Linked DNA regions of Arabidopsis thaliana. The protein of the gene in region 2 purifies or fractionates together with the protein of the main gene of each other region. This does not show direct contact. Each region holds a gene or a part of one and is shown on either strand. Other genes may lie near its edges.

What was found.
Region 1: the proteins of c-NAD-MDH2 (region 2) and AT2G20420 fractionate together in Arabidopsis thaliana (co-fractionation; one large-scale study listed by BioGRID). This does not show direct contact.

What each region holds. Positions count from the first base shown.
Region 1 is NC_003071.7:8,803,437-8,808,767, reverse strand, and holds AT2G20420 (ATP citrate lyase (ACL) family protein), read right to left. Parts: upstream 3,427-5,331; 5' UTR 3,195-3,426; coding exon 3,096-3,194; intron 2,913-3,095; coding exon 2,802-2,912; intron 2,720-2,801; coding exon 2,608-2,719; intron 2,511-2,607; coding exon 2,446-2,510; intron 2,351-2,445; coding exon 2,273-2,350; intron 2,164-2,272; coding exon 2,089-2,163; intron 1,983-2,088; coding exon 1,830-1,982; intron 1,747-1,829; coding exon 1,612-1,746; intron 1,523-1,611; coding exon 1,358-1,522; intron 1,272-1,357; coding exon 1,149-1,271; intron 1,060-1,148; coding exon 910-1,059; 3' UTR 597-909; downstream 1-596. Other genes in the region: RIC6 (ROP-interactive CRIB motif-containing protein 6), read left to right, coding at 1-101; AT2G20410 (RNA-binding ASCH domain protein), read right to left, coding at 4,574-4,615, 4,709-5,248. UniProt on the Arabidopsis thaliana protein: Succinyl-CoA synthetase functions in the citric acid cycle (TCA), coupling the hydrolysis of succinyl-CoA to the synthesis of ATP and thus represents the only step of substrate-level phosphorylation in the TCA.
Region 2 is NC_003076.8:17,388,309-17,393,425, reverse strand, and holds c-NAD-MDH2 (Lactate/malate dehydrogenase family protein), read right to left. Parts: upstream 3,046-5,117; 5' UTR 2,875-3,045; coding exon 2,832-2,874; intron 2,509-2,831; coding exon 2,350-2,508; intron 2,251-2,349; coding exon 2,075-2,250; intron 1,964-2,074; coding exon 1,686-1,963; intron 1,601-1,685; coding exon 1,465-1,600; intron 1,377-1,464; coding exon 1,265-1,376; intron 1,072-1,264; coding exon 977-1,071; 3' UTR 685-976; downstream 1-684. Other genes in the region: ckl8 (casein kinase I-like 8), read left to right, coding at 4,485-4,560, 4,636-4,676, 4,770-4,839, 4,915-5,063.

The DNA.
Region 1 (5,331 bases), on a different chromosome or scaffold from region 2:
GATCGACAAGAAGATCTGATGTCGATAACATGTCGGAATATATGTCTGAGACTGGTTCTGTGAGATCTATGCCTCAATTCGACAATAGAGATGATTTTTGAAAGGAGAGACGACATATATAGAGACTTTGCTGCTAGCTCCAAATGGCTAATTTTCATTGAACACAACACACCAATTGTTAGATTTTCTTGTTCATTCTTGTACTATTATTAACTATGCAAGGAGAATTTAGACAAATATTTTTCGGTGCTATCATCCAAATCACTTGAACATAGATCATCATTGACGTCGATCATAAATATAAAAGAGCATTCTTACAGAACAAATCAACAGCATCTTTCACTTTACTAGAAACCCTATATATGAATAAAAACTTCTTGGACAAGAGCTGAGTAGTGTTAGTGTGATTTTCCTCTTCATCATAGCCCTCAGCAATAGAGCTGCATCACTACAACAATGGAGCTGCAATCCTGGTCAAAAGTTTTTGTAAATAATCTTCTTTCCTTTTGGTAATATAATTAACATTCTATCAAAAAATAAGTTTATCGTTTTGACCGTTAAATTGGAAACAGAGGACAGCTCTGTTTTGTGAAAGCCTTTTGTAGAGAGAGGGATTAATTTTGTTGTTTCAGTGACAGCTATAGTGTGGCTTCCCACAAAAACGATTTTTATTCATGATAGGAACAGTACGTATGAGATAAACTTGAAACCCTAGTATCAACCATATGAGTTGGTTAAATACAAAAAGATATTGAGAATTCTGATTTGAATCTCTTTGGATGGATCACACAAAAAAAGGAGACCAGTTCATTATTGATCTGTTTGAGGAAATGATATCCGCAAGAAAGTGTAAATTGGGCGTCAACCACAAAACAATTAACAAACCGGCTTTTGGTATATATAGAGAGATTAGTGAGCTAAAGCTTTAACCGCTTTCTCAGCTGCATCATCCAAATCATCAGCTGTTATGAGTTTCATTCCACTTTCCTTGAGGATTCTCTTTCCCTGCTCAACATTCGTTCCTTCTAGACGAACCACCACTGGCACTTTCAATGCGACCTGTCCTCGCCATTCCACACAAACACTCGGATTTATTTTCAATCATGAATATATGAAATATTATGGTAACAAGGTTGTTTCTCACTCACCTCTTTTGCAGCGTTCACGATTCCACTAGCAATCACATCACATTTCATTATCCCACCAAATATGTTCACCAAGATTGCTTTCACTTTATCGTCCGATGTCAGTATCTTAAACGCTTCCACCACCTTATTTTTTGACACAAACCTCTATTAAAATTGGTTTTCATTCCAATGATTCCCAAAAGTGAAGAAAGAAAGAAGGTTCCTTTTACCTGGTGCTCAGAAGCATTTCCACCAACGTCAAGGAAATTGGCGGGTGTTCCACCGTGTAATTTAATGATGTCCATGGTTGCCATGGCCAATCCAGCACCATTCACCATGCAACCAATCTCTCCATCTAAACCGATGTAGTTCAGGTCAACTTTAGCAGCAGCCACCTATGAGACACAACACACTATTCCTTTTAACATCCTATCGAATTAACATAACAATGGCTTTCTTGATGATACAAGAGATAGACAGAGACCTCTCGTGGATCCTCCTGTGTTGGATCACGCATGGCGAAAACCTCTTTTTGTCGGAACGCAGCATTATCATCGAAGTTCAATTTGGCATCAGCAGCTACCAATTGATTAGTTGATGTCTCCGCAAGGGGATTGATCTACAAGAGAAATTTGGAGGTTCAACAAAAGATATTTATAACTGAAGAAGTGTGTAGAAAAAAGACAGTGAGAGAGAACTCACTTCCAACATTGTGCAGTCAGTCTTGCGGAAGAGTTCGTATAGCTTCTTCACTTGTTCAATCGAATCTTTTCTGTCAGCAGCTTTGGGAGCCAGACCATCCACAACCTTAGCAGCATCTTCATCAGTGATTCCTGCAAATACATCAATTGGTACCTACGCAAAACCATGACTTGAGGTGTCAAAAACCCGCATGAGAAAGAATCTCAGAATGATATTTACTGGAGATCAGACCACCAAATACGAATCAAACAGTAACAACCTTGATGATCATGTCAGGGAACTTCTCAGCAAGATCTTCAATACTGGTACCACCCTTTTTACAGGCAATGATCAACTGATATAGGAAAGGAAAGCGTTTTAGATATTACAGCAGGGTATGAAAACAGCATGCCTAGAAGTAGGGAAATGAATAGCAGCAGCTCATCATTTGCGTAGTAGCATACCGGTCCAGCAGATTTACGGTCCAGAATAATGGAAAAGTACATCTCATTGACGAGTGACAATTTCTCACACAAGTAAACCTGCTCAAAATGAAGACACAATGAATAAACAAAGGTGCAAGAGCAGTGACAATAATAGAAGAAAAAACACCAATCATGAATAACAGATAACAAACCTTGCTAACTACTTTGCCTTGAGGACCAGTTTGCTTGGTGACAAGTACTTGTCCTAGCATCTTTCCTACAAGTAATAAAGATTTGAAATAGATCAATAACTTGTACAACAACAACAAAAAACAGACTCCAGAAAGCCACAAACAAGAAATCCTGTACAATACCAGCAATCTCTTCAGCCTCATCACGTTTAACAATGTGAACACCACCCTTAAGACCACTCTTGAATGTTCCAAGACCTCTTCCACCAGCCAAAATCTGGCTCTTAACAACCAACTGTATCACACGAAAATGACACTCTTTCAATTAGACAACAACTAATAATAGAGATTAGAATCGAATCCCTCACTGAATTTACCTCGCTTTCATTAGGGAAAACATCTTGAATAGCCTTTTTAACTTCTTCCAACGAAGAAGCAGCTACTCCTTTCGGCACATTAACTCCATATTTCCCCATCAATTCAGCTCCCTGGTTGTATCAGAATCACAATACAAACTTTACATTATCCTAAACCCAGAGAATTCTATCAACCACAAATCAATCAGTGGATCAACACAGAAACAACAGACAAAGACACAGATCGTACTCGAATTCTGACTTGACAAAAGCGAATCTAGGCAACTATCAAATGGAAATGAAGAGAAGAAGAACCTGATACTCGTGGATGTTGAGACGACGAAGCTGTTGGTTCTGCCATTTCCCGGAGATGGAGAGAGATCTGGACACGAGCTTGTTCACCAATCCCCTCATCGTTGGATTTGTTAGTAGTCGAAAAGTAGCCCAAGAGAAAATGAGAAAATGTAGAAAGAGCAGAGAATAGTCGCAGCTATGAATGATCGAGTCTAACCCTAATTTTTTCCTACTTTATGAATTTTCAATTTAACCCTCTCTATTCTTCTATGTCGCCGGCTCATTTAATTCCAAAATATTTTTGGTAACTCTTGTTAGAAAAAATCTAAGATTTTATTTTCAAAAAGTCTATATATGAAAATACCAAAGTACCATTTTAATTCACTAACAATATAACAATAAAAAAACTAAGCAATACAATTTTTCAATAAAAATGCTAACCCACTAGAGATTGACATCAGATATATCGCCGGATAATTTTTTCCTTTATAAATCTATAATTTTATTGTATATAACATCGACTGATTGTGTATTATTTGTAGTATTATTTTACTTGTATATGACTAAATATTTATATGAATAAATTTTATCCGACTTATCGACAAGACAAATTTTTAGTTACTGTATTTTAGATAATAATTTTCAGTTTATTTGGTTTTTTAATTTCCAGTTATTTAATTTTGAGTCTAATTAAAATAAAAAAATGATCATTTATTGTTTTCTCAATACATTTGATATTATTTACTTTCTGAAAAAATGAGGATACTTACAAAAGTTTCAATTATTTATTATGTACTTATGATATTACTGTTATCATCACCAAAATGAGCTAAGCCAAAAGCTTTAGTATTACTGTAAGGAATCTTCCACCGGTACGGTTGAGTAAGTTGAGTAAACCGGGATTACTCAAAAAGAAAAAAATTGTTGTCATTGGAACATAAGCCCCGTTCAGTTAGTCCGATGAGGACCAAGTGAATAACTGTCGTGAATCGAACGGCCATGATGTCATCGACGGAGAGACAACAGAAGCTCCACACACGCGTCTCAGCTTATAGAATCTCTCCACCGCATGATTCTCTCGTTACCGAGGCCGCATCTCTGCGAAAAGTGGCCCGGGGACTTTCCTGGGTCGGAACTTAGACAAGCCCATGTGACCCATTCACTTTGTCCAATGACTATTGTTACTTGTTTTCGTTTTCGACTAAATATATACACAACTGATATTTTGAAACTACCGATGTGGGACAAACCCCCCAAAAATATAAACATTCTTCTAAATCTGACCAAAATATAGTAATTTAGTAAAATTCGACTAAACAGTCTACTCAAAACTCATTGCTCTGTGTATTTATTAGTCCACATGATTATTCTCTCATATAAGTTAAATTGAATGTGTATACAATAAACCTATAAACTAACTCTAAAACGAACTTCTCAAACTTTGAAATGAACATGTTTTAGAAAGAATGCAAAATATGGTACAACCTTGACGCATTAGATCAAGAAGGTGGCTTCAAGTTCCTAATTGCAGCGGCCATGATCTGAAATAATTCCACATGTGAAATAAAATCAGACAACAACAAAGTCAACAATTATTGTTGTAATTATCGCTTAATGTAAGATAATAAACGTACCCGGGCAGATCCAGGATCAAACCTTCTTTCACCAATTCTTGTATTCCTGTCCTCACTCTTTGTGACTGCACTTCTTTGACTAGATTCAACTTTGCTGCTGCTGTTGCTGCTTTCACTACATACTTCTTCACCCATCTGTGTGCCTCTGTTCTTGCTTCTTGTTCTATAAGTACGGTCAGACGTTCCACCAGAACCAAGAACCGGGTTATCTAGGGATTCTGCTGCTTCATCTTCAATAACTTTGCTCTTGCTTCTTGTTGTGTAATCAAATATATTATTTGTTTGGAGACTTTGTCCCTTCTTAGAAAATTGTGTCGCCGCTGCTTTTGCACCGGCGATTGCAGCTGTGAGGCTGGTAACTTGCTTGATTGCAGCTGTGAGGCTGGTAACTTGCTTTGAATCAAGTTCTTTCTTCTCTTGCATTGTACAAGGAATAGAACCAGGTTTTAAGGAAAACGGGTCTTTTGGGTCAGGAAGAGGGAATTTCACCTTAAAAGAGTTTTGAGAAGGCATAAGACCTCTAGCTGCTGCTACATAAATCTGTTTCATTTAGAAATACAGTAAGTAACTGGTACTAATTTATACTACAACAAGAACCCACCAATCCCTAGGCTTTGAAGAAC
Region 2 (5,117 bases):
AAAAAAATGTTATTGTTATTAGAAGCTGATATCAAAAGTAAAACAACAAACAGATTAGTAGATAACATGAGAAAAATATGTATAGCAATATTTATTGCCAATAATAAATGTTAAGGTTGGAATGTATTTAGGTCCTATATAGACTTGTCACTAACATTCAATGTCCAGGAAAAAAAAGAGGACATGAATTAAGCCGTCGATAATTCATCAGGAATTAGAAGAAAAAAAAAGAGTTATCAACAATACCCAACAAATCATTATCTTCTGCAGCTATATTTGCTCTTTTATAGAAAAAAAATTATATTTAAAAATAAAATTACAAGATAAATCAAAGTGACTGCAAGTCTTGGAGAAAAAACTCATAGAATAGGGTTTTAGTTTTAGATAAAAACCTATGAAATAGGGTTTTACGTTTTCTTTTTTTGATAGGCTAATAAGGTTTTATATTTGGATGAACTGGTAAATAGTAAAAATAGCATAATTAAATAATAATAGTAAATTAAAAAATAAATGTTACGTAAAATTATTACGTAAAATTAATTCAAATTATTAATTTAGTATTATCCCATTGTTCTAAATCGCATAAAAACCATGGAGTATATTATTGCGAGATTTTATTCTATAATACTATTCTTAAGCTGTTTATTTCACAATTGCGAAATCTTTTGTATTTTTTTCATATGGGCCAAAAGAATACCCAACAAAGCTTTGGCCCATATCTGAAAAAGTCTACCAAAAAATTCGAGTTGTTGTTGTCTCTCCACTCTCCACTCTCCCGTTACGAAAGGAAACCAAAAGAGGTCAATTATCAAAATGATTGTTTATATCTGGTCAGCAAATCAGTACCGACACATCATGGGCACATTAGGAAAACTAAACCTCAAGCTCATGAGGTTATTAAAAGTTCATTTTATAACAAAACTTCTTTATTCGAAACAAAGCTTTCACTGATTAAACCAGCTGAGAAAAGACCGGTTTAAGAGAGGCATGAGTAAGCGAGGTCCTTCTCTTCCTTCAACTCCTCTGCTGTCAAATCCATCTTCTTCCTCGATGCGTCATCAATCGGTAAACCTGTGAATAACAACAACACATATTAGACCAATATCTAGTTCTATGAGCTAATCATCGCAGCGAGAACCAGCCTTGCACACTTAGGATTAGAAGTAGACAATCCAGTTTACGGTTCCGTTACACGGGTCAGCTTTAGGCTAGGATTCTCTTAAGAACATTGTGTATAACTTTTGGTTACGAGAAATATATTTACCTTGAACAATGGTCCACTCTCCATTACGGCAGGTTACGGGGAAGGAGTAGATAAGTCCAGCTGGAACATTGTAGGATCCATCTGAGTATACTCCCATTGAAACAAATGTGCCCTGAGAAATCAAGTCGAAGAACATATTAGTTTTACTTAGTACACAAAACAACCAATTGATTCGAGATAAAACAGTAGTAATGACGAACCTCAGGTGTTCCAACAACCCAATCACGGATATGGTCACAAGCTGAGCTAGCTGCAGAAAGTGCACTAGACAGCTTCCTGGCCTTGATAATGGCAGCACCACGTTGTTGAACGGTAGAGATGAACTCTCCATTCAACCTACAACATTAGTTGCTAACATACATGAGCATCACATTCACGAAACTAGATTGAGATATTAAAAGGGTGTTTTAGAGATTTTTACCACTCGTCATTCTTGACTAGCTCACGCACTGGCTTCTCTCCAACGGAAGTCTTAACGGTAGCGTGGTTGACATCTGGGTATTGGGTTGATGAGTGGTTTCCCCAGATAATCACGTTCTTCACATCAGACACTGGTACGCTTAACCTCTCAGACACTTGTCCCAATGCCCTGTTGTGGTCAAGCCTGGTCAAGCAAGTAATGTTCTTCTCTGGGATCGATGGTGCAAATTCCTTCAGGATCAATGCATTGGTGTTTGCAGGGTTTGCAACAACCAGAACCTACAAAACGAAGAGATAGCAAATATGAAATATCTCATACAACAAAATAAGAGATTAACTTGCTTAATTTCTGCATAATGATCATAAGAACGATTCGAAAAGACTTATCACCTTGCAGTTTGGTGCAGCATGCTTCTCCAAGGCAGAAGCTTGAGACTTGTAAATGGAAACGTTCTTGGACATAACATCCTTCCTCTCCATTCCTTCCTTCCTCGGGAAACCACCAACCATGACAGCAACATTAACACCGGTACACGCTTCAACAGCATCAGTTGTAGCCACCACACCTTCCACAGAAAAAACACCAACATCACATTTCAGCCTCAAGCAACATACCATATTCCAATACGAGCACAGTAAAAATATATACTAGAATAAAAACTTACCCTTTAGAAGAGGGAAAGCAGCATCGACCAATTCCATCTTCACACCGTTCAAAGCTTCTGCTGCAAAAGGGATGTCAAGCATGTGGAGGATCACAGGCTGATCAGCACCAAGCATTATCCCCCTTGCAATCATAGGAACAAGAGCATATCCGATTTGTCCTGCACAATAACAGAAACACACTTAAACATGATCTACACACAAAATTACAAATCAATCGCCAAATAAAGCTTACAAAATCAGAACAAATCATGATAAAATCAAATAACTGATCCAAAATGACAATTACATCTCAAAATGTAACAGGATTCACCAAATGATCCAATCAATTTCTCTCTTCAGATCTCACTATAGGAATCGAAAATATGATTCAATGATCGTTTACATTTTTGGATTATGAAAAATTGGTGTTACATAAAGATCTGACGATACGAATCAATAACGAGAGATGGAAGAAACAAGATCGGAGAAATAAGAATTTTACCTGCAGCTCCGGTAACAAGAACACGAACTGGTTCCTTCGCCATCTTATAATCGAGATCGGAAAATTATCGCCGGTGAAAAAAAGAGAGAGATTGTGAATGATCAGTGAGAGAGCGTGAAGGTATGAAAGCAGACCTGTGTGTTTATTTATTGGTGATGGTGAAAGCTGAGATGATCCATGGATTGATGCCCACGTTATCGAATCATCTCGAACCAATATCATTTTGGGAAGTTATAATGGGCCAATTTAGTGTTAAAATAAGCCCAACTAATTAAGCCCATTTAATGTTTAGACGAGTTTATCGTACCGACTAATTTGGTAAAGCCCTAATTAAATGGGGATGTTCAATGTTTACTTTTTTCATGTTTAATTAATATTTTCTTCTTTTGTAAGTGGTGTCTGAATATATAAAACTAAAGTTCTAGCTGTCTTTGTAGAAAATGCATGTCATTATATGTTTGACACTGTTATTGAAGAAATGGTCTAAACAAAAAAAGAAGATAATATAATATCAATCGAAATTCGATTCTATTATATTACTTTATTCTACATAATAAAATATTTTATATCAGGGTTTATCGAGTTAGTAATAATTTTTCTTATTACCAATAAAAATTAAAAAGCAAATTTAACAATCAAGTGATTATATAGTATTTTATAAATAGTACCAATTTTTTTTTTATGGTGTATCTGATAGTTTCGAGACAAATTTTGTTTTGTTTACTTTTAAAAATATATTATCAAATACTCATTTTTTGGTAGAATATTATGTTTTTTTATGATATTTTTTATGTAATAGTTTCAAATCAAATATCAATATTGCTTGAGGCCTACCAAAAAATAATCAATATTGCTTGAGCGGAAGAAAATAAAGATGCTAGAAAATATTAAAATCCAACTAATTTTATGTCATTAATTATCATCTTTTTCATATAGTGACGTTACTGTTTACAGTTAATGAAGAATAAATCAAATTTGGAGAAAAAGAAAACAAATTAGTTAAGCAAAAAAATAAAAAGTTGTAAAAAATTAGGGATAAGGAAAGAAAATCTCAAAATCTCTTCTTCAAGGCCGTCTCGTCAGATTTCTTTTTCATTTTTCTTTTAACGTTTGGTTTCGTCTCTAATCCATTATCTTCCTTAAGAAAAAAAAAATTCAGCAAAAAAAAAAGAGAAAAAAATAGTGAATCAAGCTGTCTCGTAGCAGTCTTTATAGATCAAACGATAATCGAATCCAACGACCCATTTTTTTTTTTTTTGGGTCTGATTTCGTCTCTCTTTGTTCTTTTCACCTTTTTTTTTTGTTTTGGTTTTGTCTCTTCCGTTTCATTTTGTGTTTCTTCAATCTGATCTAAAGCTTTTGTCTGAAAAAAAGTGTCAGACTTTCTATGAAGATGTTGTTGGTCAATGGGTGATTTTTAGTTTGTGTTAAAGCAGAAGCATAAGATTACTTGGTGAATCGATTACAATTTTGATTTGATTCAGATATTTGAAGGGTTCTTACTAGAATTTGAATTGGGGATCTTTGAATTTCGATCAGGCTTTTAGAGAGGTAGGGAACATTGAATTGAGATCTGGGTCAACTTTTGGTTTTGTTGGGGATTAGTTGTTTTAAGAGATCGAAGAAAGGAGGAAGCTTTTTGATTTGGTAACGATGGATCGTGTGGTTGGTGGTAAGTATAAGCTTGGACGTAAACTTGGAAGTGGATCATTTGGTGAACTTTTTCTAGGTAATGTGATTTGAAGTTTCTTCTGTCTTTTGGTAATTCCAAGTTTTGCTTTTGTAATAACTCTTTTGTTTTCAGGGGTTAATGTACAAACTGGAGAAGAAGTTGCTGTGAAGCTTGTAAGTCTCAACATTTGACTATTACCCTTTTCAATTCAGTAATGTGTAAAAACTCATTCTTGATTACTAAAACTTTGGTTTTTTTCTTTGTAGGAACCTGCGAGAGCTAGACATCCTCAACTTCATTATGAATCAAAGCTTTATATGCTTCTTCAAGGAGGAAGTAAGTTTTGCCTTTTGTCGGTTTAAACCTTCAGTTATCGTTCTTTTATTAACTTTTACATTTGTGTTCTTGAAGCTGGTATTCCACATCTAAAATGGTATGGGGTTGAGGGTGAATACAACTGTATGGTGATTGACCTTTTGGGTCCGAGTATGGAGGATTTATTTAATTATTGTAGTCGGAGGTTCAATCTAAAGACGGTTCTAATGCTCGCAGATCAAATGGTACGGATATATTATCTACCTTTTCTCTGATATGTTTGAGTTATTGTGTTGCTC